Linked DNA regions of Diceros bicornis minor. The protein of the gene in region 1 interacts with the protein of each later gene in a pairwise test. Links are inferred from orthologs where the notes say so. Each region holds a gene or a part of one and is shown in the gene's direction. Other genes may lie near its edges.

Region 1 (6,918 bases):
GGAGGGGGTGTAGATCGGGCAGAAGGAGGTAGGTGGTCCCAGCCATACTCCCAAAACTGGGTTTTCTAGTTTGAACTTCTCCACGGCCTAAGAGGCTTAGGGCTGGAATGTCCCAGAGAGTCATGGATGGCCCCCGGGGCAAGCCATGGCACATTCCTTCCCTTTCCCTAAAATCCCTTGATTCTGGTGCAAAGATTAGGACAGCGTACCCCCAAGAGTAAGTAGAAGGATGCCCCCCATGAGGACCCTCTAACCACCGTTCCCAAATAAAATTACTAAACCATTCTTGGGTACAGAGTCTGTTTTGAGGGAGCCCAGCCTCAGGAAGGGTCCCTACGGTGACTACTTCAACCCCACAACAGCCCAGGCTCCTCTATTCAGCCCAGCCAGGACTCTAAGCCCCAAATTTCCTGAAAACCACAGACTCATTGCTGGCTTTGTGTGGCCTGGCGGGATGGGAACTAGGGCACATGATTCCAGCTCCAGTAAGCCACCTTCCCTCCTCTCCTCACGTCCCATTGTCAAGGGAGCAGGAGGCTGAAGCAGCGAGCAGAGATTGCTGTGTCCCATGTCAGACATGGGAACTGAGGACCAGTGCAGGTCAAGCCCTGCCCAAGGTCACACAGCAAAGCTGGGGCAACCCTGAACCCCTACTCTTACTCCTGAAAGACAGCTGCCTCCATCCTGTGTGTGTTTGTGTGTGACGTATCTGTGAGTGTGCAAGAAACCCCTACCCTGTCTGGGATAACAGCCAACAGAGGTGTGGCTGGGGGAGAAGAAAGAGGGCACCAGGTCCCTTCTCCAGCCAACGCCCAGGATCAGGCCAGGGCCTCCTCTCGATCAATCCTTCCTCGCCCCCTGCTCATTCAGCGGTGCCCAGGGCCAGTAGAACAGGCTCCCCTGGGCAGTCCCCACTAGTCTCAGCCCTTCTCTGGGGCTCAGAGCCCCTGGGGATACGGAGCTTCACCCGCAATAGTCTGAGGGCCTTTCCATCCACACATCTGGCATCAAGATTTCCAAATATAGGGACTATTGTGACTGCCTGGAGCACTGCCAGAGACTTGGGTCCAGAGGAGCACACAGCAGGTGCTCAATAACTGCATTAAATGTATCAACAGTGAGGGATGCAAGCCCCTCAGAATGAATAGCTAGAGCTACAGAGTCACAAAACAGTCCCCATCCATGGAAGGTCTGACTCTTTAGTCCCTCTAAAGAGTGGAGGGCTGTGACCCTCAGCCTCTGGATGCCCAGGGCAGACCATTCATTCTGTGTCCCCACCCAGAGGGGCACTGTGCTTCCTACCTCGGCCTGGCACTTGGTAGATTTGGAACACACCTCCTATTCCCTACCAGCCAGATTTTGTGCCAAACAGCATCAGCGTTCTGGGACCCAGAGGCCTGGCTGTGTGTATACATATGTGACTGTACTCAGCACTCCCATGTGTGGGTACAGTGAGTACGTGTGTGTGTGTACACAGCACACCTGTGTGGGTATGCAGTACGTATGTGTGCGTGCATGCTCCCGTGGTGCCCTGTCTGTCTGCAGGCAGGCTGGGCGGCATGCTGTCCTGTCAGGGTAAGGCAGCTACACAGAGGCGGTGTGTGAAGGGGCGCTCCCTGGCATGCTGCAGCACCTGCATATCTCCTTGAAAGGAGCCGCTCCAGGAGACAGCCAAGAAATGTGGTCAAAGATGAGGCTGAGGGCAAATGCTGGGCAACCCTACTGCCCCGTGTACCCCTCCCGCCATCTCCACACACAAGACTATTTTCATCCTGGGGGTCTCAATTTAGAGAAACTTCCCTTTGGGAGGAAAGGGCAGGAGTTGCTGAGCCTCCCCAAACTCCTGGGATGCATCCTCCCTCTGGCCTCAGCCTCAGACCCTGCCCGTGGTCACAGGCACTCTTGAGAGTGGGCGAGACCCTAAGGAATTGTGCCTTCTCTCCATGGCCTAGAGCTGGGGACCTTGTGCTGAGCCAAGGGACTGGGAAGCAGGCCTGGTTCCACCTTGCGCCCGCCCCTGCCCCTGCGATCCCCAGCAAGAAGCTGAGCCTGGGGCCTGGGTCCCTCCCTCTGATGGGGAGCCAGGGTGAGGGCTCAAAGGCAGTGCCTGCAGAGCATCGCAGATGCTGACAGCCGCCGGCAGGGTTAGTCCAGAGCAGAGATCTCCAGGAGGGATGAGGATGCACTGGGCCCTGGCTGAGGCACTGGGCCTAGAGAGTAGGGCAGTGCTTCCACCCGAGACTGTTGTCCTGCCCAGCACTGCTCCTGTCTGGTGGAGCTGGTCAGCAGGTGAGGAGCAGAGGGCAGCCTGGGGTCCAGCTATGGTCAGAGGAACAGGTCAGGGCCGCACCCTACTACCCCAGCTGTCACCTATTTGCTCGAGACTCTGAGGTCTCAGGGCCAGTTAACAATTGTTGAGCAAAATCCTTCAACAAACTTCACTGAAGTAGGAGGATTCAAGGAGGGGATCATTCTTAGTGGTGGGGAGGGGACCGTCATTGCCTGTGCCGGTGGAGGGCCCACTGTGCTGCAGCTTAGCTACCACTGTATGAGAGAGAAGCTCCAAGACCATAGGCTTCCTGGGCTGCAGGCCCACGGTTGGGAAACTGCAGTCACCTGGCCTGCCAGGCCTATGCCTACAGCTTGGGAAGCCAAACAGAGTCCCCAGCGGCTGCAAACCTGCCCTGAAGGGGGCAGAGGCCCACCCTGTGGCTGCCAGGGCCTGCCTGAGATTGGGCCTGACCACTGAAGGTGCAAAACAAGGGGAGAGAGCCCTACAAAAGAGGCTGTGGGGCCTGGCTGGGCTCTTGGGGTCTCCTGCTGCACTCGCCAGCGGCCTGGAGCCAACAGAAACGTTTCGTCTGATTAGAAGCCATCAGTTCTATCCCAATCCCGGAAAATTGACTGTGGTGCTGAGGGGAGGCCTGAGAAGCAGCCTTGGGGGAGAGGGTCCAAGCTAATTAGGAGGCAGCATCCGGGGGCCCATTAGAGCGCAGGCTGCTGTCACTCAGCCGGGCTCAGGTCCCGGGAGAAGAGGCCGAGGAAGGAGGGGCCTGCGGCCCCTCGACGAGGACTCGGCTGGGAGCCGCCAGAACGGGCCCCGGGCTCTGCCCCCGCCCTGGCGCTGGCTCGGAGGCGCCCGCTCGGTGCGATCCTGCTCGGTGAACGTTCACTCATCCTGGGCTGTTCTCACCGGGGACTGGGGACTTCGAGGCGGCCCAGACAGGAGTTGATTCTGAGCGAAACAAGTCATTTGGGGCTTGAGGTGGGCACGAGCCGCGCGGGACTTGCAGGCCAGATGCGTTTCTTTTGTGCCGTGGAGGGAGAACTCGGTGTGTCACCGGGAAAGGAGGGAGAGGCGCGGCGAGGCCGCGGGGGGGCGGGGAGGCGGCGGGAAGGTGGCTGCGGAGGGGGAGGGCGCGGGCGAGGCAATGAGGGAGGGAGGGCGGCAAAGAGGGCGCGGCGGCGCGGGCGGCTCGGGACTGGATTCCGCCCGCGCTCCCTCGCTCGCTCGCTCCCTCCTCCCCAGCCCCCTCCCACCCAGGCCCACCCCACTCACCACCCCTGGCGCGGGGATTGCTGGAACCTGGCGGTGCGCGCTGTCGCTTTAAGACAGACTCTGCTGGCGCCGTCCGGAGCCTTAGAAACCGGCCCCGAATCGGGAACCGGAGCCGGAGCCGGGGCCGGGCGGGCGGCTGAGGCCCGAGCGGCGCAGCGCAGCGCGGAGCGCGAAGCCGGGCGCCCGGTCGCGAGAAACCGCTGCCGCTGCCGCCCGCCTGGCCCCGCAGCCCCGGGCGGTCCATGGGGCCGGCGCGGCGTCTTTGCGGCCGCGGGCAGCCCTGGGGGGCAGCCGCTTAGGCGCTGCGCTCTTGTGTCCGCAGGTCGCAGCCAGGGCGGCCGGGTGCGCCCAGCCCCGGCCCCTGGAGCGCCCGCCGCGGTCCGCGCCTCCATGGACGCCTTCAAGGGGGGCATGAGCCTGGAGCGGCTGCCGGAGGGGCTCCGGCCGCCGCCGCCGCCGCCACCGCCGCACGACATGGGGCCGGCCTTCCACCTGGCCCGCGCCACCGACCCCCGCGAGCCACTCGAGAACTCCGCCAGCGAGTCGTCGGACACGGAGCTGCCAGGTAAGCGAGGCTCCCCGCGAGGCGCGCACAGAGCCTGCCCGGGCGCAGGGCGCGGGGAGCCGGGAGCAAGGCCTGGCTCCCCGCGCCGCACAATCAGGCTCCCCCTACGCCCCAGGAGCCTCAGGACCTTTCCTTTTCTCATTTTCGATCCGACGCTAAACGCGGAAATTTACACGCTTTAAGAAGCGGAAATTTAGTGCTTTACGAAGGCACTTCCACTTGGTCCCCACGCACCGAGACCGGCAGAGGCACGAACCTACAACCAGAGGGTCGGACTGACAGTCCCTCTTGATCAGGAGCAAATAGAACAGGGAAAAAAAAAGTTAGGTTTGCGCAATTGGGTGCCGAGGGGCCGCTCAGACCGAAGGATAGGAGAAGTTCGAGAAGGTAATGGAATGGCAGGCGAGAGAAAGTGCCCAGAGAGACAGAGAGGGGACAGACACCCCGACAGATAGTGGGCGACAGATTGAGGGGAGAGACCGAAGAGCAGGGGTGGCTGGAAAAGTCAGAAAAGCAAACTGGGGGGAAGAAAAACCACCTCAAGTATAAGGAAGCCTGAGACAGGACCAAGGGGCGCGGCCCTGCTCTGGGCAGGACCCCCTAACCGAGGGCTCCCGGCCCCACGTGCGCCGCCGAAGCCCGGAGCCTCCAGGCCGCCCAGCCAGGGCCCCGACTCGGGTCGGGCACGTCTCCCTCCGCGCTGCCTTTTTATGCGAGCTTTTTCCCCCGGTCGCGAGCTGGGCCAGCGGGTGGGCGGCGCGGGCAGTGGGGCCGCTAATCCCCGGCCCGGCCTCCCCGGTCTCCGAACCGCTCCCGCGCTCGCCGTCCTAACTCGGCGTAGCCGCCGACCTCCCCACTCCCCGGGCCGTGGGCGCCTCTTCTGCCTTCATTTCTTAATCCACCACTGAGTGCTTCTCTACGCGTTTTTAATCTCTATTTGTTTCTGTTTTGCATCCCTAAGTGACTTTCTCTAAGAGGTTCTGTTTGCTTGGTTAAAAAACAATCGACGCTGGACTGTACTTTTGTTTTCATAAGTTTTAAGCGAGGCCTTTGGTTGGTTTTTATTTTTAAAACCTAGAGAAATATATCGAGATTTCTTCTTAAAACCAAACCTATGAGGATAAATTTAAAATTTTAACTGTATTTTTCGATATAGAAAGAATTACTATACCAGGTATATTTCTCTGGAATTTAAAATATCTACGTGCAACATTATTCTTCGGGAGATTTTTACAAGTCAATCCAAAATGGCGCGTTTCTCCGGGATTTTCTCAAAATCCATTTATAGCCGTGTTATTTTGGGAGTTTATCTAACTATAGTGTTGTATTTCCCTATATTTAAAAATTATCTCTAAAAGGGCGTTATTGGGAAAGGGTTAAAAAAATCTATCCACAACAGTACATTGATTTTTTTTTAATCCCAGAGAAATAAATGCCTGTGTCTGCCTGAAGTTTATGCACGTACAGCACCGTAGTACAGCACCGTAGTTAGCTGTGTGTTTGTACGGTTTCTGGCTTCTTAATTTGCATTTGCTCTGTGTTCCTACCTGCCTATTTTTAAGAGTTTGTGACCATTCCTGTGCTTTTAGGCATAGAGCTCTGGGCTTCTCTGGGCTTCTGTGTTTTGATTTTAAATTCTTTTTCTTTATGTTTCAATGTTTCTATGACTGGGTATGCTTTGTGTAGCTTCAAAGAGAGAGAGGCTAGAATCCCAGGTCACCTAGACAGAGTCTGTAGGTCTGGGCTGCCGCCGGAGGGATTTTCTAGGCCTTGGGACTTGAGGCCTGGAGCAAAGGCAGAGAAGCCGGCTGCGCCATGGCAGCCCAGTGGGGCTCCCACACAGCCCTGGGGAGTAGAGAGAGGAGGGGCTGCAGGTCACTGCCTGGCTCTTGCTCCACCGACCTGCTAGCTTCAGGCTAGAAAGAGCTAATCCTAGTTCAGAAAAGCAGAGATCGCCTTAGATTTAGACCCCCAAGAGCCCGCAAAAAATCGTACATTTGCGGGTGACCTCAGCAGTAGGGCTCGGGCCTGAGCGGAGCTGCGAGAGCAGGCCCTGCCCAGCCGGGAACCTAGGCCCGCGGCTCCGGCTGCTGGGCTCGTCTCTGGAGCACCCCTGACCAAAGGTGACCACTGACGACCAGGCACTCGGCAGGCTCTTTCCAGTGGGGACAATTCCAGGGCCCCTGGCGGGAGGGCCGCCAGCGCCGATGGCCGGCGCTTCGGTGGAGCCGGGACGGGGTGCAAAAGGGCATAAGCCCGACGTGACCGGCTCCCCGTCCTGCCTGCTTCAGAGAAGGAGCGCAGCGGGGAACCCAAGGGGCCCGAGGACAGCGGTGCGGGCGGCGCGGGCTGCGGTGGTGCGGAGGACCCTGCCAAGAAGAAGAAGCAGCGGCGGCAACGCACGCACTTCACAAGCCAGCAGTTGCAAGAGCTGGAGGCCACGTTCCAGAGGAACCGCTACCCCGACATGAGCATGAGGGAGGAGATCGCCGTGTGGACCAACCTCACCGAGCCTCGCGTGAGGGTGAGCGCGGGGCGCGCGCCTAAGGGGAGCCGCGCACAGGGCTACCGGCTGCCTCTGCCGCAGCCCTCCAAAGCTTAGACCTGAGCTCAGACTTTCACACTTTGTCACCACTCAGACCTTCTCCCTCCCTCCACCGGAGGAGATTCCACCTTAGGTCCCGGGCCACTCGGCTGCGGCTAAACCCTTTGGCCGCTAGCGTCCCTCGGCTGCTGCCACCTCGGATCCCTCTGACCCGCATCCTACCTGATTGTCAGGCTCTACTGCAGCCCC
Region 2 (7,622 bases), on another chromosome or scaffold:
CAGAGCCTTCTCAGCGAAGGCAGTTGCATGAACAAAGGCAGGGAAGTGGGAACAGCCTGGTGTGTTCCCAGGATAGCCAGCAATTTCATATAGAATTGGGGGAGGGTCCTCATCAAGACAAAAGGCTGGAGAGATCATAAAGGGCCTTGAATGCCATCCCAAGAAGCTCGGACTTTGTCCTGAGGGGGAGCCACTGAAGGGTTTGAAGTGGGATTCGCTAGAGATGTGCTTCTGATGGATCACGGGCTGCTGTATCTAGATGGACTCAAAGGAGAAAGGCAGTCAGAGCTGTTCAGGCAAGTGCCGGCACCTTGACCTAGGGCAGAAGCAGTGTGGGAGCAAAGAAGTGAGGAACAACAAGCGGGACTTGGTGAGGAACTGGTTGTGACGGCTCGATGAAAGGGAGAGTTTCCAGGTGTCTGGCTTGGAAGACTGGTAGGGAACATAGGGGATGTAGTATTTTCAGCGTGTGAGGGGGGTAAGGTGTGGGGGAGGTCATGAGTTCAGTTTTAGATGTGTTCCCCTTGAGGTGCCTATGACATCTTGAGAGGGCAAGCACCCGGCAACTGCTGGCTCTGAGGGTCTGGAACTCAGGAGAGTCTGGGCCAGAGAGATTGGGGAGTCACAGCTCAAAGCCAAGGGAGTGGCGAGATACTGAGGGGGAAGAGGAGAAGCAGAGGCTAAGGCAGCAGAACCAACATTTAAGGAACGGGGAGAGGAAGAGGGACCAGCCTGTGAAGGAGACCAAAAGGGAGTGGTGAGAGTGGCAGAGAAAACCAAAACAGGACAAGGGGGGGAGTGGTCAGCATGGCCAACTGCAGCAGAAGAATCAGGTTGCTGAGGACTGGAACTGCCCTTGGGTTTCTTACAGCGTGGTGGCCTAAGGACTCGGGCTGCCTTCTTGCTGAAAACAACTAAAAATATTAAACAAAATATATATTTTAAAAAACATATATTTTTTAAATATATAAATATTTTTTTAAATATATATTTTAAAAAAACAACAAATGCTGGAGAGGCTGTGGAGAAAAGGGAACCCTCATTCACTGCTGGTGGGAATGCAAACTGGCACAGCCTCTATGGAAAACAGTACAGAGATTCCTCAAAAAATTAAAAATAGAAATACCTTATGATCCAGCTATCCCACTACTGGGTATCTACCCAACGAACCTGAAATCAACAATCCAAAGAGGCTTATGCACCCCTATGTTCATCGCAGCATTATTCACTATAGCCAAGACATGGAAGCAACCCCAGTCTCCCTCGACTGATGACTGGATCAAGAACATGAGGTATATGTCCACAATGGAATACTACTCAACCATAAAAAAGACAAAATCATCCCATTTGCAAAAACATGGATGGACCTGGAGGGTATTATGTTAAGTGAAATAAGCCAGAATGAGAAAGACAAACACCACATGATTTCACTCACAAGTGGAAGATAAACCAACACAGGGACAGAGAGAACTGTTTGGTGGTTACCAGGGGCAAGGTGGGGGGTGGGCACAAGGGTGAAGGGATGCATTTATATGGTGACTGACAAACAATGGTGTACAACAAAAATTTCACAATAAAGAAAAAATTAAAAAATTAAATAAATAAAGGGGCCGGCCTGGTGGCGCAAGCGGTTAAGTGCGCGCGCTCCGCTGCGGCGGCCCGGGGTTCGCTGGTTCGGATCCCGGGCGCGCACCGAAGTACTGCTTGGTAAGCCATGCTGTGGCGGCGTCCCATATAAAGTGGAGGAAGATAGGCACCGATGTTAGCCCAGGGCCATCTTCCTCAGCAAAAAAAGAGGAGGATTGGCGGATGTTAGCTCAGGGCTGATCTCCTCACAAAAAAAAAAAAAAAAAAATTAAATAAATAAAAAAGAAAATTTACAGAAAAAAAAATTAAATGCATCTATGAGCTGGCAAACGCAAGAAATATTCATCCCAAAAATATAAGTGAAGGCAGGAAGCTAAAAGGTAAGCAACGCTCTGTAGTTGGCTTTCACCTTGAGAGCAGTTTCCTTACTCGATGAACCTGAACACTGGTTCCCTGAGCTTATGGTAGAAAGTCTACTCAGAAACTTCTCCATCAGGCCAGAATCCCAAAGGGCTATGCCCACACTTAAGGGTGAACTGGAAATAAACCTGCCCCTCCTCTACCTAACCTCTCTCCACAGGACTCCAAAGAAGTTTGCCTGCATTTAACCTCAGTGCTAAGTGGAAGAGTAGAAAATCTCCCCTGAGAACTCTCAACTACAAGCAGGCCCTCATCTGGTTTTGCAGACCAAATTCACACTCTTTTGGAAGGCTGAAAAACCTCAAACTGAGAAGTTAATGTCAAGGACATAGGCTGCTGGTGGTTCCAAGTGACCCACAGACGCTCCTTCTCCTCCTCTCCTGGGCTTTGGAATGCTCTCTCCTGAATCTGGAGACCCCTCCCAGGGTTGTCACAGGTTCTGGCCCCTATATGTCCTATTCTTGTCCCTCAGAGAGAAGAACCTGTCTGGAACTAGCTCCCAAAGATTCATTCCCCACTTGGCTCTAAGCTATCCTGGATTGCCATCCACATCTCCTGGAAGTCTTCTTTGGTCTGGCACCCTGAAATGCCCCAACCCTCCCCAGGGCCTACTTCAACCCATCTGTCCCAGGTAATGTTTGTGAAGCATGTTCAGGAGCATTGTTGGTGAGACTTGGCTTCTTCCTCTGGCAGGGGAACCCCCAGGCTCAAGAAGAAGCCCTGGATTGGAGGCAGGAAGAAAACTCCCATTGACCAAGTTGTGGCCTCTGGGTGGAGCCCTATTCATGTACCATCTCAATTTGTCCTTTGCTGGAAGAATTACTGTTCTCATTTGTGTGTGTGTGTGTGTGTGTATGAGGAAGATCAGCCCTGAGCTAACATCTATGCCAATCCTCCTCTTTTTGCTGAGGAAGACCGGCTCTGAGCTAACATCCGTGCGGAACTTCCTCCACTTTATATGGGACGCGGCCACAGCATGGCCTGACAAGCGGTGTGCCCAGGATCCGAACCCAGGCCACCAGCAGCGAAGCGCGTGCACTTGACCACTACGCCACGGGCCAGGCCCCAGTTCTTATTTGTTTGAAGTGAGTTTCAGAAGAATTCGTGGTCTTATGGCCAGAAAGAGTCAGAGAAAGGTTTTGAACACAGGCCTAAGTCCAGAATTTGTGCTCTCAACCCTCCCCTCCCCCTTCCACAGTGACATCTCCAGTAGGCATCAGGGCCAGGGCATTTCATACCCCTAGGCACAGACCTGGAGTCAGTTCATTTTGGCTTCCTGTTTCCTCCTTCCAAATTTGCCCTGCCTCTCCTTCTTCAATTTCTCCTACATACTACAGATAGATTTTTCTACAATGCAAATCCAATCACCACTGCCCATTTGAAACCCCATCATGGTTTCATATTGCACTTAGGATAAAGTCCAAACTCCTTGGAGAGCCTACCGCTCCCAACTTGTCTTTCCAACCTCACCTCTGTTACTCATCCCTTCCCCCTTCCTCACCCCACATATATTCCCTTAAACTGAACACAAATTACTAGCTGTACTTCAAAGACTCTTGATAAAGATTTGAATGACTAGATTCCCACTGGACTTTGCTTATCAGCTAATTGAGCCCCCTCCTCCCCAATCTCTATTCTTCAAGCTCAGATCAAGTTTCTTCTCCTCAGGGAAGCCTTTGTCCACCTTCTCAGGCCTCGGGGGCAATTGCCAATGCCAGCTTCCTCCACTGAACACAAGTACAGAGGTCCTTTCCCTTTTGATATTTTTTTCCCTGCTGGGATAGCTGGCGAGAGTTAATAAAAGGACAAGTGGAGAGGTAGGGGTAGGGATGATTGGTCTCTGCTACCCTAGCTGTGTGTCCAGGGACAAGATAAGTTCAACTTGCCCCAACTTCGGTTTGATCTCTGAAAATGGTGAATAAAAAGACCCACCTCAGAGTCGTTGAGAGAACTGGACCTAAAGTGTGCAAAGTACTGTTCCTAGCACTTAGATGTGAACTAGTCTTATTCTAATTACTCATACAGACAAGTTGCTTCCAAGAACTTGATGAAATTCTCCGGGCACTGTCCATGGTATGTGGTCTCCCAGTTGCTCATTGGGTGGTCCTGAGAGCCGTCTTTTCTAACTCGTGAGGCATGCCAAGCCCCCCTGCTCTTCTCAGGGCCGTGCTGATGCCTTCTTCCCAGACAGCCCCTTTCCTGGGCCCCAGGATGCGCGCGCAGTGGAGCACCAGAGTGACTTGTCCCCCGATCCCCAGCCCCCAACACACACATCTTATTCTCCAGCCTGGGCTCCCACCTCCAACCACTGGCACCTTGAGTCACATCCTCCTAGGGAGCTGCCCCGCACCGCCTCCTGCCGGTCTGACTGGGAGTGCCCGTCAGCCGCGGTGGGCCCGGGGTTGACCGGCACAGCGGATCCCAGCCCACCTGCTCCAGGCCTCCGCCGCAAGGCGCCGCCCTCCCGCTAGGGCCATAAGGACTACATTTCCCAGGGTGCACAGCGGCGGGGCCTTGGCTCGGTGGGGACCTCGAGAGGGGCGCCGCTCCGTCGCCTGCTCGGGGGCGCGCGGGCTGGCGCGAGGACAGGATCCGGAATGAGTTTCCGCGCAGTTCCGCTGGGTCGGGCCGTGCCGGGCCAAGGCAGGCGCAGGTGGGGTACGGCGCTTGAGTCGGCGGTGCCAGAGACAGGCGCTCGGGGCAGCCCGCGCCTCGCTGAGGTCCCCGCCTCGTCCCGGCCGGGCCGGCTCGCTTGTCAGTCACTGGGGCGGAGGCAGCGGCAGTAGCGGGGCCGGAGCGGGCTGTGAGAAGAGCGCGGGCCAGGCCGAGCGGAGGGGGTCTGCCACAGCCCCTCAACTCTACGGACTCTTCGCCCCAGACTTGCGAAGCTGCAGCCCCGCGCTTCGCTGGACTCCTCCTTAACCCGTGAAGGGCTCTCTCCTCCGTCACCCCCCCATCCCCGTGACCTCCTCATGGGACCCGAGAGCTCACTCAGATAAGGGTGTTGTGGGTACAGGCCCTCGACCCTGTCACCCCTCACCGGCCCGGAGCTCGGTTTCCCCCACGGGCCTCTCTCCCCTGTGACTCCCTCCTCACAGATTCTGGGGACAGAGCCGTGACCTACCACTAGACCCCCGCCTGGGAACTCCTCACTGACGGCTCCCTCCTCGGGGCCCCCTCTGGGTCTCCTCCTAAGAGCACCACTTTTGGTCTCTGGCAAGCCCCCCACCCCCAAGCGAGGTGGGGAGGCCTCGGCAGCCATGCCGGCCCTGGGCCCCCTGTCACCCCGCCACTCCCTGGGCACCCGAGCCGGGGTCTAGCAGGGGGCCAGCAGCCGAGGGGCTGGGGCAGGAGACAGGTCAGGGTCCACCTCTCTGCTGAGGAGGGAGCAAAGATGGAGCGGCGGGAGGAGCAGCCGGGGGCTGCAGGGGCTGGAGCAGCACCAGCCTTGGACTTCACTGTGGAGAACGTGGAGAAGGTATGAGGGCCCTGGGGTGGGCACTCCAGTGACAGAGCAGAAGTTCTGGGGATTGACACTAATGCCAGAGCCCAGGCCTGGGCTGGGCGCCCGCTGGGATGGTGCCCCCAGAGCACCTGGCATTTGCTGTTCCTCTGGGCAGGCAGGATGGCAGTGTTACAGTGTCCTAATGGGCTATTTTTGGCCTTCCTTAGACTAGAGTCCTTTGTGGATAGATACTCTAGGGTCTTGGGATGCTGCGGGGTGCTGATGGCTTAGACCTCTAGCCAGACTGGCTGTTCTCCAGCCCCATGGGAACTGCATGAGCAGTGCAGTATGAAATCAGGAACCCAGGAGACCTGCAGCTCAGTGCCCAGGAACTATACTGATGCTGAGCCATCCTGGACCTGTTTTGTTGAGCCAGAGGCTCAGAAAATAATCTGGAATTAAAACAACCTGGGTTATGTTTTCACTCTTCCTTGGAGAAGGGTCCTTCCTTTATTGGGTGGAGACCAGACCAGTCCTGGGCAGGCAGGAGAAGGGCTGGCCCGCTTTGTTTTGTGCTGGGTCCAAGGGGTCTGGTCCTGCTGGCAGCCTCAGAGTCCTTCCCTATTCACATGCCCATATAGCTTCCTGCCGTGGCCCTCCCAGTCCGTCTCTTTGAACTGCTTCTCTGGTTCTTCTCTGGGTTCTGTCCCCAGAGGCCTGGGATGAGTGGGGAGATGGGGCTACCTTGCTAGAATGCAGGGAATGGTTGTAGATATTCTTTTGTTATTCTCGAGCCCTGTTTGCTGTAGTAGTGAGGATGATCCCTTCTGCTTCTGTTCTCTGCCTGCCTCAGCATCCCTGAGGGGCCAAAGAAGGGACAGTGGCCATAACTGGCTGTCAGAAGTACAGATAGGGCTAGGCCTCCTTGGATGGAGCCTGCTTAAGGGGTCAGAGTCCTGGCCTCACCCTTCCATCCCCTGGGGCTGGGCGGTGTTGGCATGGTGGTGCACTGTTCCATGTGCAACCAGGGAGATAAACCACTGTTTTCTTACTGTGTGAAGTCTCAGTGGAATTGGGACCTAGGGGGTTTGGCTGCTTAGAGCTCCAGCCTAGGCATTTGCCAGGGCTGTAGGCCAAGCCTTCTCTGGACCAGCTTTCTGGACCCTCATGTGTGCTCCCTGAGGGGTGTTCTCACCCTCCCCTGCAGTATGTCTCTGCCCTAGGGCTGCCTGGCAAAGTCTTAGTCCTGCTCAGATTTCACACTGGCTTTGGTGCCAGCATGTGGAGTGACCTAGGGATGATCCTGGGGGAGCTGAATGGAGCTGTTGGAGTTGATGGGAGCAGCTGTGCCTGGGAGGGTCCGGGCCCCTCAGGCTGTTCCGTGCTCTTCTCAGGCTTAGCTTCATCCCCATGGAGCCATTCGTTCCACCTGGGCCTTGCCCTTTACCTCAGGTGCCTGCCCTTTGGGAGAGCTCAGCCTCCTCCTTTTCTGCTTTCCCGTGGAGGTTCACTGTCTGAATCCATGTTTTGCCATAGGAAGAGGCTATGATAAGGCATGGGCAAGGTTCAGGCTCTCAGGGTATCAGCAGGACCCCAGGCCCAGGAAACACTGCAGAGCCCTGAGCTGTCCCTTCCTGCTCAGCCCTGCAGTCAGAAAGAGAGAGCAGTCTTGCAGGACCAAGTCACGCCCTCTGATCTGGGCTCTGGCAGGATCCAGAGTGGCCAGCACCTGCTCAGTCCTGTGCTGTCTTGCAGGCGCTGCACCAGCTCTACTACGACCCCAACATTGAGAACAAGAACCTGGCTCAGAAGTGGCTGATGCAGGCCCAGGTCTCCCCACAGGCCTGGCACTTCAGCTGGCAGCTACTGCAGCATGACAAGGTGCCTGAGATCCAGTACTTTGGGGCCAGCGCCCTGCACATCAAGATCTCTCGCTACTGGAGTGACATCCCCACTGACCAGTATGAAAGTCTAAAGGCACAGCTCTTCACCCAGATCACCCGCTTTGCCAGTGGCTCCAAGATTGTGCTGACTCGACTATGCGTGGCACTGGCCTCCCTGGCTCTCAGCATGATGCCTGATGCTTGGCCATGTGCCGTGGCAGATATGGTACGGCTCTTTCAGGCTGAGGACTCACCGGTGGATGGCCAGGGCCGCTGCCTGGCCCTGC
Region 3 (7,115 bases), on another chromosome or scaffold:
GTGAGATATCTGCTCTTTAGGAAATCACCCAGGTTGACTTTACCGAAGATCTTTTTATATTCACGGGCCAGGGTGTGGATGTCTAATTTCACTCAGCTTTTCAAGCTCTACATGGTATTAAAGCTTTCGGAGTGCTTTTACATACACCCAGAGTTCTTAAACCAGGGGTGGGGGATGCAAGAGGATGGTCTATGAGTGGATTTCAAGGGTCTGTGAGCTCCTGGAAATCATATGAAAAACTGCATGCATGTTGGATTTTTTGGGGAATAGGGGGCAAAATTGGTCACACAGATAAGTGAGAAGGAGTATTTAACCTGTCCAAGGATGGGCTTCAGCGCAGTCTGTGAATGCCTTGTTATTCATATGCAAAATGGTACAAGAGTCGACAATTTTCTGATGTAAAGAGTTGATTCCATGGCTTACATTTTCAAAGGGATAGTGACCCCCTAATAGGTTAAGAATCATTGGAATAAAGCAGGCTCCGTGTTATTTATGGGGCTAGGGAAGACTATAAATAGAGATTCCCGTTTCTTCCCACACCTGGTGTTGGCGCACACTTCAAGGTGGCTCACATACTAGCCTGCAGGTCTAAGCTCAGTCTCCATGCCCCTCACATACAGTACCTCAGGCACACAGTCCACTCTCGTGAGTATAGACCAGGACCCTGGTAGGCCCTGGAAGTGGGCCATTTGGGCCAGGAGGTCCAGGGTTCCGAGTACCCAGAGCATGGTCTAGAACTGGGGGGCACAGGTTCCAGGTGAGCACTTCCTGGATGCCCTTGGACTTCTTAGCCAGAAGACATCAGAGTGGGGCCCTCTGCCTGGGTTTAAGGCAGTGCTGCTATTCAGTACTGTTCTTGAAAACAGCCCCTGTGAGGAAGTTGAGGGTCTTGGAAGAGTTAGCTCCATATTAGGGCTGAAGAAAAAGGCCATCCACTGTGAGGATGCAGTGGAACCTAAGTTTTTTGACTTCTAGTCTAGTTCTTTTTCCACTTAATCCACAAAAGGTGTGCTATTATAGGGTCTCTATAAACCTACATTCAGCTCACTTGGCTATGACTATATCTGGTTCTTGGGTTACACAGAACAGATTTAAGGGAAGAAGGAAACGAATTCACTCTGTGGTGTCTCTTCTCTGCTATGTGTTGGATGTAATTAACTAGAAAGAGTGAACATTTGAAAGTTTATGTAAGTTTGGATAATTGGTCTTTATATAAAATGCTGTAGGGGGCTTAAGCATCTTAATTTGTGAAAGAGATGTGTTCCTGGGAAGAGTGGAATGTTCCTAGAATTGTTCTAAATTGGATCTTGTTTAAACTTGGCTTTGGGGGTACTCAACATTTAAAATAAGTGAGATAGAGGGAACATTCTTCATAAAACAAATAATCATCCCTCTAATTGGCCTATTCTGATGGTTTAATTTTAATGATAATATTTAAAGGGAATCCATGCTTGTATTGCTGTGTTGATATTTTTACATCAAGCTGGGTTGTGCTTTAAGGAGCTTATAAGGCGCTTATGGTCAAGCCTATCAGTAAGAATAAAAAATATCAGATTTCAAGCTTTGCTTAGTAGTATGAGTATCAGAAAGAACTGAGAGGCAAAAATCATACCTCCTTTTCCCACATACTTCTCTTCCAATTATGTGCTACCTATTCTCTCCCACCCACTCTACCCTCTCCCAGGATGCAGGCTGTGTCCTCATAATCTGCGGTTTCCTGGCCCCACCCCAGGGAGACAGCTGCAGGTGATTCCCACTAAGTCAGCCTGGGAAGTAGAAGGTGGACAAGGTTTCTGAGACTGGGGAGGGGAGACCTTTCAAGAACAGAGACAGTCATGAGCCAGCCCTGATGGCCTAGCAGTTAAAGTTCCGCGTGCTCTGCTTAGGTGGCCCGAGTTCGGTTCCCGGGTGCTGAACCACACCACTCATCTGTCAGTAACCATGCTGTGGTGGCGGCTCACATAGAAGAACCAGAAGAACTTACAAGTATACACAACTATGTACTGGGGCTTTAGGGGGGAGAAAAAAGGAGGAAGATTGGCAACAGATGTTAGCAAAGGGTGAATATCACCCCCCCCCAAAAAAAGAATAGAAACAGTCAGCAGTGTCCCTATCTTTCCAAGTCAAAGTGCTATTTGCTTCTGCTTCTGCTGTGACTGCTCAGTGCAAGATGGCTTGGGCTATGCAGTCAAAAATGTAGGGAGAGAGAAGGGCCTAGAGTGTCATCAGCCCAAGGGCTGAGGTGTAGAGGCCCTAGAGATACCTCTATGGAGGCAGTCTCTAAAGGGATATCCTTAGACGGGGTAAACACCAAGTGGGAGGCAAGATGGGGTTTCCCATTCTTGGGGGCTTTTGTTCACTGAATGGGGAGTCCCCTTGCCCCTTCTCCTCCCTTTTAGGTTTCCTGAAAGCCCACTGACACTCTCTGTCAACTACATTTGGTTTACAGAGGATGCTGCCCTTTGAGCAGTCTCCAGTTCTCTTGATCAATGAGCAAACCACACCAGTGGGGGAGCTGAGTCACAGGCACATGATATAGGGCTGGGAGGTGAGGGGGACTACACTCCACTGGGTGATGATGTAATCTTCCAGACCCCTGTACCTTTTCTTCTATACTTGAGGTATCTCCCTCTTGGCTTTCCCCACTTCTTCCATATCTTCAAGGATTGTGTATTTCTGTGTTGGAGGAAGGATGTTTCCCTCTGTATACATACATATCAGGGATTGGTGCTTTTATGTGTCCAGGCCAAGTATCTTTTATATGGGTGTCTAATGAGTCCCTGGGTGTGGTGGTGTGAGGAATTAGAAAGCTCAGAAATGGAAAATATTTAACGTTCAGAGAAGCAAATGATTAAAGCTTGCCCATTTGCATTTTCCCTTTCACTCTGACTCATCTTCCCCTCTCCCCACCCTATTATTGCCCCTCCACCAGCCCCACCCATTGGCACACCCTGTCTGATCTAGGAAGGGTTAACTTCTGCCTGCACCCAAGCTAGAATGAGAGGTAGAGGGAAGGCATGTTAGGTCTGGAGGGAGAGAGTAGAAGGCTGGTCTGAACATTTTGGGGTCCTGGAGCCAAAGGGAGAAGCAGGAGTTTAGAGACATAATATTTGAGTCTAGGAGGGGACCAGAATCTAAGGGAGAAGCCTAGGGGGAGCCAGACCATGTCTCGTCATCAGAGCAGCCTACCCGTGCCTGACTTGTATATCTTCCAGTTATTTATTTGGCATATATGACATGCCAGGCACTTATCATGAGTGATTTATCAACACTTGTTGAATGAATGAAAAATTTGCCACAGGATGAGGGATAATGGAATAACAAGAAACAGAAAAAGAAATTTGAGTCTCTCAGACCTCATCCTTTCCCCAGGTTAAAGAGTGGTAAAGTGTGAAAAGAGGGGAAATCTCCAAGGACCTTGACCCCTTGGGCAGGAAGTGAAAGAAACCCTGGAGTCCTGATTTCAGAGAAATGTCATTTGTCATCAACTCAAGAAAAGGAGTTTTTCTCTTCGAAGACCACCGCAAGCCCTTCCTGGGGTTGCCCCCTTCAGCGCTTGATGGGAGGATCTGAGTCACTCACACATGCAGTCCCCAATGGTGGCCCAGATGACAGGGGTCATTCCCACATAGCTGTCAAGGCTTGGTAGTACTAAGTCAGGCATGCTTTCGGCCCTCCTTCACTCTCTTCTTGGAATCTAGATGCTTCAGTCCTTTTTACTTCTCAGGTAGTAGAAACAGCTTCCAGCTGCTAGAGCTCTAATGACACCTCTAAGAAACAGAACTAATACTATTTGAATGACGCTGTGTACTGATAAACCACTTTCACATTCATCATGTCATTTCATCCTCACTTCCACCTCCAAGTGAGGTAAGCAGAGGTTATCCCTATTTCATGGACGAGGTAACGGAGGCTCAGAGAGGTGACTTGCCCAAGGTGATTCAGCTAGAAAATGGTCGAGATGAAACTCAAGTGAGGTCTGATTAGTCCAAAGTTCTTGTTGCCTCAGTTACACTTCTTTGACTGGAGAAGTTCACAAATGAAATAAAGACAGGTCAGGAGGCAATGCCTGGATTCTGGAAGTAGAGGGGGTGGTCTCTCCTGGAGGGGTGAAGCAGAGCCGGGAGTATAAAACCACACCCCCTTGGGGGACTGTGGCAGACTGATACTTGGGACACCCAATGGAAGACTGTGAGGTCAGAGGCGGGGCTAGCTCCAGCGGGGGGGCCCCAGGAGCCCCAACAGCAGTTCAGAGCATGCGGTGTCCAGGAGGAAGCTACAACCGGTGAGTGGTTGCTTCTCCCCAGCTGAGACTTTCCTCCCTTACCCCCCTTTCTGTCCACTTCCTGCCAACCTGTAGCCCTCTTCCTGAGGTGTCCAAGTAGTAATCCTCCCTCCCAGAAGCGTCCTTACTCACAGTGCACCCACACCTAGGAATATGCCTGCTGGGCACAGAGACACTTGGGTCTGTCTCTTGGTAACTGGGTTCCCAGTTCTCTTCTTAAAAGCCAATGTGGTGGTTTTGATGTGTGATAAACTTCTGCCTCGTTAGCTGCTGTCTTTCTATTCTTCACTTTTGGCTCATGAAAAACAAAATTAAACCATCTCCTTATCCTAATATTGAGAGGAAATAGCCTCCTGCTCTACAGTTCCCATGTCCCTTTCTCCTGCTTCCTTGGCAGTCAAAGTCTTCTCCAAAACTTCTCTCCATCCTTAGGTCGGGAGCCTTCTCTCCTGTGGCTTCTGCACCTGCTCTCTTAACTCACTGGATGGGAGTCTTTGGTCTCTTCCAGCTCCTTCTCTGAGAATGTGTTCTAGAAGCTTCAGCCTCAGGGAGATGATCGATTGATGCCTTAGAGCCTGCCCTCCTGCAACTACGACCCTGTCTTGCTGCCCTTTCTGCCTCTCAGGACCCTCAGCTCCACGTGATGGGCTTGTGGGAAGAGGACACTACTAGCTTTCTAAACTCTCCCATGAAGCTGCGTCTTGCTCCAACCCTAGTTGCCTGGGCTGGGTTTTATGGTGATCTCTGTGTCTGGAATGAAGAAAGCCTGGCCTGCTCAGAGTTTTCCCTGCAGAGGGGCTTGGAGAAGAAGTATCAGCATCTGCTATCCTTTAAGTCAGAGACTGCCAATTGGCAGGACCCATTTATACTAGTCTTAAACCCACTACTTGATATAGTTGTTAACTGCCTTGTCCTTGCTCTTTAAGTCCTGAATTTGGTCTAATTTCCATTCTCCCACCACTCCCACCCCCAACCCTGGCCCCTGTTATGATTCTGGATAAGCTCAGGTCCTCTCTTGGGTTAGTTTATTTGCTCCATTCAGGACAGAGAGCTCTGATCCAGAACCAGCAACTCACTCACTCTCCCCTTCCCTCCACAGGCTTGAGAATATGCTGTTCCTCCCTCTCCTTTCTGCCACAGACCCCACACTGTGGCCTTTCTCTCAGAACCTCTGAGATTGGTACCCAGGCAAGGCACAATGCCCCTGTCCCCAACAAGACTGCCTAGCCCCTATGGCTCTGATCGCCTGGTACGGCTAGCAGCCAGGCTCCGGCCAGCACTATGTGATACCCTGATCACCGTGGGGAGCCAGGAGTTCCCTGCCCACAGCCTGGTGCTGGCAGGTGCAAGCCAGCAGCTGGGCCGCAGGGGCCGCTGGGCTCTGGTGAAAGGCATCAGCCCTTCCACCTTTGCCCAGCTTCTATACTTTGTTTATGGAGAGAGCGTAGAGCTTCAGCCTGGGGAACTGGAACCCCTTGAGGAGGCGGCCAGGGCCTTGGGGGTACAGTCCCTGGAAGAGGCGTGCAGAAGGGTTCGAAGGGACAGGGCTAGAGAAGAGCTGGGTCCGGGACTGAAGGAACATCAGGAGGAGCCAGAGAAACCCACAAAGGGTTCTGAGAGAGGAGTAGGGGCCCTTGGAGAGAAGCAGAGACCAGAGAAATTTGTTAGAGCTGGTGGGCGAGAACAGGAAACACTGCAGAAGCACAGGCCACCAAGAGAGAGCCCTGAGATGGCAGAGGCAACGAGGGAGGGCCAGGGAGTGCAGATGAGATTCAAGGAGAAACTCAACCAATTCCCTGTTGGCCATGGGGGAGTAGATGGGAAGCAAGAAGTGATCATGTGGGTGAGGGAGACTCCAGGGGGCTCTGAGGAAAGTCTGCAGGAGTTCCCTGGCCCCCTTCCCCCACCTGCTTCCCTCCAAACCAGCGTCACCCCTAGGCCCTGGTGGGCTGAGGCCCCTTGGTTAGGGGAGGGGCAGCCTGCCCTATGGAGCATCCTGCTGTTGCCGCCCAGATATGGCACCCCCTTCCCCCATAGCACCCCCATCACTGGAACCTGGCAGGAGGTCTGGCCTCAGGACGAGAGGTGAGTGAAGGGCCTCACGGAAGACCTCCCAAGCTGGGAAGGAGTGGCTCAGGAGAGGCAGCGGTGACGGGTGGAAGGGCACCATATCTCTTATCTCTACTGTACATTTCCTGAGCTGGGGACAGGACAAGAAGCTCCCACCAAAGGGGAAGACAGAGCCCAGTCCCTGAGGAGGACTCATGACACCTCCCTCCCCAGGAAGAGATTGGCCACAATCCCAGATTTTGCCAAGGCTGTAACTCTTCCCCACCCCACCCCCAGGATGCCACTGTCCCTAAACCTCCACAAAGGGCTCTGGAGCCAGAACCAAGTGGCCTCCTCCAGCCCAACCCCAGGTAAGCCCCTCACTGCCCTGCATGAACCCTATAATGTGGTCTCTCCCCTGGGGCTGGGGGTCCAGGAATCCAGCCTGAGCAGGGCCCCTACTTCACTCTGCTCCCTCCAGGTTCCCTCCACCAGGGCCCCGCACAGCTCAGCCCTGTGGAGATGGAAGAGTCTGATCAGAGGCACACAGGTGAGGAGGGTGAGGGAGCTTTTGCCTCAGCCCCAGTGTAGCCCCTGATGGCTTGCCTGGGTGTTGCAGTGAATCCAGCTCTGGGATTCCCAGCCCTGCCCTCTTTTGCTTTCTCCGTCCCCACAGGTGCACTTGCAACTTGTGTGGGTCATATGGGCACTGCAGGCCGCCCATCTTGCCAGCACCCCCCCCTGCCCCCTCCTGCTCGGTCCAGGCCCTATTCTTGTTCTG
Region 4 (7,526 bases), on another chromosome or scaffold:
AGGAAGAAAGAATGGGGCCTTTATGGAGCTGCAGGGAGCGGGATCTTGTGGAAGTTCCCCTGTGAAGTAGGAGACAAGGTCAGTTGCTGGTGAGGGAGGAAAGGGATAAGAGTGGGGAATAGGAGACAGGAAGAGAGGGGTGAAGGTTTGGGAAGACTAATGTGGGGAACTGGAGAAAAACCTGATCAGTGGGTAGTGGAGGATTCAGGTACAGTTGGAAGCAGGAACGCAGAGAAGCAGAGAAGCAAAATACTTAGATTAAGTGGTGATGGGAGGGTGTTGGGGAGGATGATCAGGAAAATAAGGTAAAAGAAGGCTTGAGGATGTGGAGGGAGCTGACCATACAAATAGGGAAAGAAAGCGAAGCCAGGAAGCAACTGACAAGTTGAAAAATGGAGCAGTCAAAGGAATAGAAGTCTCTAATGACGTCTAGTAGCAGATGTCGTGGCGGGAACTAAAGCACAGGAGGCAGTGGCCAGAGCTGCAGAGCACTGCAGCTTTCAGATGAGAGCAGCTGTGAGTGATCACAAGGGCTTGGAGTAAAGAAGACTGTGGGCCAGGGGCCAAAATCAGTGAATGTAGGTGAGTGACTAGGAAGCCCATAGATGATTCTTATGGGGAGTAGGAGATCCTGACACTAATGGGCTCTGTGATCCTAGGGAAGTCACTTTCCCTCTCTGGGCCTTAGTTTCTGGATCTGTAAAATAGGAATAATCTCTGTGCTACCTGCTCTCTATGAGAACCCAAAGAAATAATCAAAGTGCCTTGTCCTCACCTAATCCTCCTGGCTGGTTTCCTTCCTCTTCCTAGATCACAGCTCCTCTATCTCTTGCCCTTCTCGGGGGCAGCTCTAGGGGCTGCTGCTGTCCCAGGGGCATCGCAGAGAACTGCAGCCTCTGGGGCAGAGAGAAAAGGCCAGTCTACATTTCCTCATGTTTCGGGAGGTCGTCTATCCTTCGAAGGGAAGGAGTGCAACCTGGACTGCTGGAATTCCTGGGGAAAATTACAGGTTCAGTGTCTGCTCTGTGGAGGAGAATGGACTTTCTAATAATAATATGGCTATACGAAAGGGATCATTCCTCTCTCCGGAAGTAAAGAGTTCTTCATTCCTGGTTACATGCAATTAGCACCACGATGACCATGCACTAAAACTAATTCAATTAATAGTCAACAATAGAGGAATGGTTACTATGATAAACTCATTCAAGGAAGTATTATGCAGCCATTACAAAGTATATTTACATAGATTATGCACTAACATGGAAAACTGTAAGTGCAATAAGAATATGCAGCACATATGTATTATATATTATGAAAGGAAATGAAACACCAAATGTTATTCATTCCACAAATAATTATTGAGCACCTATATGTGTCAGGCCATGTGCTAAAAAAACCCTAAAGATACAGTGGTGACTTTTGTCCTGTGTGTTAAACGTCAGACTAAAACTTACCTGGTGTGAGTATATTAGCATTTTATGACCCTATGTTTCTTATGTCAAAAATATATATTCCAGCAGACCTAAGTAAACTTCTGACAGAGCCATGACGCATTTACCTTGTCCTTCAAACCTGACTCACTGAAAATGCCAGGCACAGACCTGACCGTATCACACACTTTTTCTGATTAGGCAAGAACGCTGGATACACATTCCTTTGCTTATTAGTCGGTGCGGCAAAGATAGGACACTCCCGCCCCGGCTCGTAAAGAAAAACGCAAAAAACGCCCTGAAAACAAACTGCAGAATCTTTCCTCTTGGGGTGAATGTGTTAACAAGAACATAAATCATGGAGGAATTGCCCTTAGATGAGTAAGTTAAAATCTTTGAAATGCTTAAGGGGCTGAAACTGCCCTTGTGGGGAAAACGCTGGGTATCTATCCCACCAGTTAAAAAAAGACCCCCTTCCACTTCACCGCCAGCCGCGGCAGTCTCGCGTCCTCCACCCGCCCCTGCCCTCTGGTACTCCTAAGGCCTTGGACTCCAGGTTAGCGGTTGTTCCTGGGCCAATCAGCGCTGAGAGCCCTCAGAACCCCGCCCTCCTCCTGCCCAATGCGGTGAAAGGGTCTGCAGTCTCAGAGCCGCCCTCGCCCCACCCATCGGTGGGGCCAGCCCTGAGTGGGAGGAGCCACGAGAAAGCCCCGCCCACTCAGGAGCCGCAACCGCGGCGCGGCGGGTGTTGTGAGTCAGAGCCAATTGGAGGGCGTTCCTCTTTGGGTCCTTCGGTCTTGTCGCTGTAGTGAGAAATTACCTCAGAGCGAAACTAGCTCTGGGATCCCGCGGAACAGGGACTTGCACGCTGACTAGAGGACGAAGCCAGCGGAGTGGAGGAAGGGCCCTCGAGTTGGCGTCGGAAGCCAGTGGGATGAAAAGATCCTAGCGCTGCGGTGGCGGGGCGCCAGCGCAGCGGACTGTGCCACCGTCCGGGCGCAGGGCCGGCGCGCGGACCCCAGAGCGCCCCCCGGTGGGGCGGCAGCGCGCTCCCGGCCTGCGGAGCCAATGGCCGCGCTCGCCCGCTCTCGCGGCCCCGCCTCGGGCCGGCCGCCGGCCGCTGAGGCTCCCGCGGTGGACGGAAGATGGCGGCCGCGGCGGTGCTGGCCGCCGGGCTGCGCGGGGCGCGCAAGGCTGTGGCGGCCGCGCAGGTGAGCAGTGGCGGCGGGGGCGAGGAGGGGTCCCGCGGGGTCCGACGCCCTCCGGGGCCGCCTTCCTCCCCGGCTGCCCAGACGGCGCATCCTGCGGCCTCGCGGAGACGGAGCCCGAGCGCCCGGCAGGGACGCTGCCCTTGCCGAGGCGCAAGCTCCAGGGCTGTGCGGCAGGCCGGATGGGTGGTCGCGGCAGCCGCTCCGAAAGCCCTGCTGCGGGGGAAGCGAACGGGCGCCGAGAGCGGGACGGGGTCAGCGCGGCAGCCTGTGCAGCCCCGCTGACCGGGCGCCCGCCCCGCCAGCCCCCGCGGCGCCACTGCAGGAGTGTGCTTGCTCTCCCGGAGCCCGCCGCCGCCGCCTTGGGCCCGGGCCCTCCGCGGGGCGCTGGTGTTAACCTCTCGTTTCCCCACTCGCCGGAGCGGCTCCAGGGGGCCTCCCACCCTCGTCTCCCTCAGTGTGGCAGCACTGACCAGCCTTCTCTGAGCCCCTGGCAAACTGGGGCTTCCCTACTCTCAATCCCCTGGCGCTGGAGTTGCTGAGTTCACTTAAATCTTCCCTCCACTGATTCAAGAGACTGGAGTTAAAATTCACTGTAAGAGGTCAAATGTGACACCCGGACGCCCTCGTGTCAAACAGAGCAATTGTATTAAAACCTGAATAAAACAAGTAACACGGCTTAAAGATCAGAAAACAAGTAATGGAAATAAGTGGAAACTTATTAACAAGGTGAGAGTAAATGGAAGGAGCTCCAAGTGGTCTTAAGAGGTGATGCAAATCACCCCCTTTATTTTATAGTTGAAGCCGAGAGAAGGGATTTATATAAGATATTTCAACGGTAAAATAGGAACTGGGACCTAAATCTCCAGGTTCTCTTTCTGGATCCTTTCCCCTGAACAGATTTTTATTTTACCTGCGATCCCTGAGAGTACATGGGAGAGCTATTGCCAACTCCTTCCCTGGGGTGTGTCTGACCCACCTTCAGGTCCGAGGAGCTGCAGGTGTGACTGATGGGAATGAAGTGGCCAAGGCCCAGCAGGCAGCTCCTGGGGGAGCAGCCCCAACCATCTTCTCCCAGATCTTGGATCGAAGCCTCCCAGCTGACATTCTGTATGAGGACCAGCAGGTGGGGTGCCCTTAGGACCCATCCCCTTAGGAATTTCATAGATACCATCCAGCTTGTTGAAGTAACATGGTGGCCTCTGGCCTGTCACTGCTCCCAGTGTCTCGTATTCCGTGATGTGGCCCCTCAGGCTCCTGTGCACTTCCTGGTCATTCCTAAGAAGCCCATTCCTCGGATTAGCCTGGCTGAAGAAGGAGACCAGCAGGTGGGAAGAACAGGGCAAAGTTTTGGCTGGGGGGAGCCCTAGACTTAGCTAGAGGTTTTGCTTCTTGAGAATGAAGCCATCTGTTTCTCTCCCCTTTGCCTGTAGCTTCTAGGACACCTTCTCCTTGTGGCCAAGGAGACAGCAAAGGCTGAGGGGCTGGGAGATGGATACCGACTTGGTGAGTGACTTTTGGCCCTTGAGCCCCTCACCTATGAATTCTCATACCTGCCCCTCAATGTGATCGTCATTCTTTGACCTTTCCCATGATCCCAGGATCCCATGATCCCCTAACCCCAAGCTCCATTTCAGTGATCAACGATGGGAAGCTGGGTGCACAATCTGTGTATCACCTGCACATTCATGTACTTGGGGGCCGACAGCTCCAGTGGCCTCCAGGGTGAAGCTACCAACTGATGAAGGACCCCAGGCCCAGATGCTTGGTTGGGGTGGGGAAAAAGGGACCCTGTGATGCTAATAAACTTGCTCTTTCTCAGTTTTGGATTGCTGTTTTAAATACATGAAGACATACCACAAATGGGAAAGAAAACTGATTTGAGGCTATGATTCTCCTTGACTATGGCCTGAGTGAGACACTAAAGAGGGCTACCCTGTAGTTGAAGGAGCGTTTGCGTATATAGATCTTAAGTCCTCATAACTAGTGGTCCACCTGGGACAAGCTCTTAGAAAAGTAGCAGTAGGAATAAGCCTGAATGTGTAGAAGAGTCTGAAACCCAGGAGTGAGAATTATGCAATCCTGACCCTTATTCAGATGCCAAGACAAATTCTAAGGGGGTCTGGAGGAGGATGGTCAATGTGATGGTCTTTTATTGGAGAAGTAATCACACCAAAAAAGCTGCTACCCTTTTACTAATCCCATGTCTCACCGTTTTGCTTTTAAGCTGTTGTCTGACGTATTTTCATCCTTAAAAATTTTGAGAAGACTCCCTCCACTTTTGAGAATGAACTAAGGAAAACTACTGTTGCCCTCACACAAACACCAAGTAGGCTTTTGTCTGATGCCACAGCCCTGTGCCTGTCTCCAACACAAAGAACCACTTTAGAAAGTCGCCAAGAACCGTGCTTGGGTGTGGAGGGCGAGGCCATAGGCCAGCGGAACCTTAAAAGCCGGGCTGAGGCGGATTGGAGTCCGGACGGAAAGCGGGACTTCCAGACCGCACCAGGTTTACGACTTCCGCCCCGCAGAGAATTTGCCTCCGAGTCCGCCCAGCTCTCGTTCTGCGCAGTCTCTGGAATTGTTTGCCATCTCTATGGCAACCCGGTAGCTGGTGTCTGAAGATGGAGACAGTCGAGTGTACCGCGGGGTCGCTGTCGCGGTGAGAGCCGCAGCTCTGGCTGCAGGCATCAGGGGACAAGGAAGGTCGGCGGACTTCCTCTGCTGCGCTTTTGACAACTTGCACACATTCGCTTTCTTTCAGATCTGTAGACGCACAGTCCCGCTCCGAACGACTAGGGCCCGCTTTGGAACCGTTTCCTTCTTCGGATGGCAGTCCTAAGTCGGCCCTGGCAGCCACAACCACAGCAGCTGCCTCCACCGCCAAAGAAGCTGTGTTATCTGCAAAGACACCAGCGCCCTACTCTGAGCAGAGCCTTCTCATGGAGCCCTTTTCTGACAGTCTTCTTGGGGAGCCCAGCACTGGACCCAGCTTTACCCACCAGACAGGCCATGGGAGACTTGGCTTTGAGCCTGCCTATGTTCCCTGTATTGCTCAGGATCCCTGTACTACAAATGATCTTAGCTCTAGCCCTGGCCCTGTTCCTGGCTCCACTTCTGTTCCTGGCCGTGGCTCTGACCCTGGCTGTGGCTCTGGTCGAGGCACTGGTCCTGCCTCTTGGCCTAGTCTAGGCTGTGGCCATGACCCTGAGCACAGCCCCTACACTCGTCCAAGCTTTAGGAACCCCAGGGCAGATCTGGTCCCTCCCTGGGGTCACCACAGCCACTGGGAGCCTCAGAAACAAGAACCCTGGAAATGTTTGCAAGTCTCAGAACCTGGTGCCCGAGGGCTATGGAAGCCCCCTGAGATTGAAGGAAAACATAAGGTCCCCAATGAAACGTTGCCTCGGGGCCAGTGCCTTCTCCACAACTGGGAAGAGGAGGTATTAAGGTTTGAATTTGCTCCCTTTGCTTGCAGGCTGCCCCCAGTTTCCTGGGGGAGTTTATGTTGAGGGTGGGTGCCAGAAGGCATCTCATGGTCACTCAACTTGGGACCCACAGAGAGCCACCAACCACCTGGATCAAGTCCCAAGCATGCAGGATGGCTCTGAGAGTTTCTTCTTCCGACGTGGACACCAGGAACTACTGACCCTGCAGCTACAGTCCCCCATGCCCTTCACCACCACCCAGAAAGACTCATACCAGTCCCTGGGAAACCACCATCAGCCAATTCGAGGTGTGAAGCATGAGAGAATGGGCCATAATGAGTCTATTAGTCAGAGATAAAAGGAAGGAATTTCTGGTGGGGCTGTGGATTGTCGGATGGGTATAAGGGCAAAACCCCATGATTTTCCTTCCTTTTCTCAAATTTTTTTCTTCTGAGCCTGCTTTTTTTTTTTTTTTTGTGAGGAAGATCAGCCCTGAGCTAACATCCGTGCTAATCCTCCTCTTTTTGCTGAGGAAGACTGGCTCTGAGCTAACATCTATTGCTAATCCTCCCCCCTTTTTTTTCCCCCAAAGCTCCAGTAGATAGCTGTATGTCATAGTTGCACATCCTTCTAGTTGCTGTATGTGGGACGCAGCCTCAGCATGGCCGGAGAAGCGGTGCGTCGGTGCGCGTCCAGGATCCCAACCCGGGCCGCTAAGCCATGGGGCCGGCCCCTGAGCCTGCTTCTTAACCAGCCTCCCCTACTCTTGTCCATTTCCTGCCCTCCCACAGGGAAGCGTGAAGCCATGCTGGAGATGCTCCTACGGCACCAGATCGGGTGAGAGGCTGGGGAAAGGGGAAAGGGGAGGAGGAGGACAAAAACCAGGGGAGAATGGCCTTCATACCCCCAAGTTCTGTACAGTAAAGAGGTGCAGGCAGAGCAGGAACCCACAAGGAAGAACTGTGAGGTTGAGTCTGTGACACACCATGACTACCGAAAGGAGCTGATCCAAGTAGGGCCTCCTGCCCCAACAAAGGTGAGAAGCCATCCCACCCTGCTTGTACAGCTAGGCTCTGAAGGGCTGTGGGAAAGCAGCAGGCCCAGAGACAGAGAGAGGCAGCTTCAGGCCAAGAGTTATTCAGTATCTCTCCCTCACAGCCTCACGACTACCGTCAGGAGCAGCCTGAAACCTTCTGGATACAGAGGGCACCACAGCTACCGGTGTGTGAGGGTGATCGGGTGTTGGGAGTGGGGGAAAAGAAGGCAAGGAAGAGGCTGTTCTGTTCTCGCTTGGCGGCGAGCCATGGGATCTGTCCTCATTCTGGCCCTCCTCCAGGGTGTCAGTAACATCAAGATACTGGACATGCCATTCCGGAAGAACTGCAGCTTCTCAACACCAGTGCCTTTGTCTCTGGGGCAGCCTTTGCCCTATGAACCTGAGAATTATTCCCACCAGTTGG

The links.
Region 2: the proteins of PITX1 (region 1) and IPO13 interact in binary tests that used the Homo sapiens proteins (3 or more experiments, as listed by UniProt). The link is inferred for Diceros bicornis minor from reciprocal best matches to the Homo sapiens genes PITX1 and IPO13.
Region 3: the proteins of PITX1 (region 1) and ZBTB32 interact in a two-hybrid assay, tested with the Homo sapiens proteins (2 studies listed by BioGRID). The link is inferred for Diceros bicornis minor from reciprocal best matches to the Homo sapiens genes PITX1 and ZBTB32.
Region 4: the proteins of PITX1 (region 1) and SPAG8 interact in binary tests that used the Homo sapiens proteins (3 or more experiments, as listed by UniProt). The link is inferred for Diceros bicornis minor from reciprocal best matches to the Homo sapiens genes PITX1 and SPAG8.

What each region holds. Positions count from the first base shown.
Region 1 is NC_080740.1:54,030,485-54,037,402, reverse strand, and holds the start of PITX1 (pituitary homeobox 1), read left to right. Parts: upstream 1-3,899; 5' UTR 3,900-3,949; coding exon 3,950-4,124; intron 4,125-6,415; coding exon 6,416-6,648; intron 6,649-6,918. UniProt on the Homo sapiens protein: Sequence-specific transcription factor that binds gene promoters and activates their transcription. May play a role in the development of anterior structures, and in particular, the brain and facies and in specifying the identity or structure of hindlimb.
Region 2 is NC_080752.1:6,847,591-6,855,212, forward strand, and holds the start of IPO13 (importin-13), read left to right. Parts: upstream 1-4,607; 5' UTR 4,608-5,401; coding exon 5,402-5,485; intron 5,486-7,207; coding exon 7,208-7,622. UniProt on the Homo sapiens protein: Functions in nuclear protein import as nuclear transport receptor. Serves as receptor for nuclear localization signals (NLS) in cargo substrates.
Region 3 is NC_080773.1:8,864,755-8,871,869, reverse strand, and holds the start of ZBTB32 (zinc finger and BTB domain-containing protein 32), read left to right. Parts: upstream 1-4,104; 5' UTR 4,105-4,285; intron 4,286-5,384; 5' UTR 5,385-5,483; coding exon 5,484-6,370; intron 6,371-6,568; coding exon 6,569-6,705; intron 6,706-6,815; coding exon 6,816-6,884; intron 6,885-7,010; coding exon 7,011-7,115. UniProt on the Homo sapiens protein: DNA-binding protein that binds to the to a 5'-TGTACAGTGT-3' core sequence. May function as a transcriptional transactivator and transcriptional repressor. Probably exerts its repressor effect by preventing GATA3 from binding to DNA.
Region 4 is NC_080767.1:4,230,751-4,238,276, reverse strand, and holds the start of SPAG8 (sperm-associated antigen 8), read left to right. Parts: upstream 1-4,526; coding exon 4,527-4,551; intron 4,552-5,305; coding exon 5,306-6,081; intron 6,082-6,199; coding exon 6,200-6,374; intron 6,375-6,857; coding exon 6,858-6,903; intron 6,904-6,987; coding exon 6,988-7,102; intron 7,103-7,224; coding exon 7,225-7,287; intron 7,288-7,402; coding exon 7,403-7,526. Other genes in the region: adenosine 5'-monophosphoramidase HINT2, read left to right, coding at 2,576-2,641, 3,624-3,764, 3,862-3,966, 4,072-4,144, 4,240-4,367. UniProt on the Homo sapiens protein: Microtubule inner protein (MIP) part of the dynein-decorated doublet microtubules (DMTs) in cilia axoneme, which is required for motile cilia beating.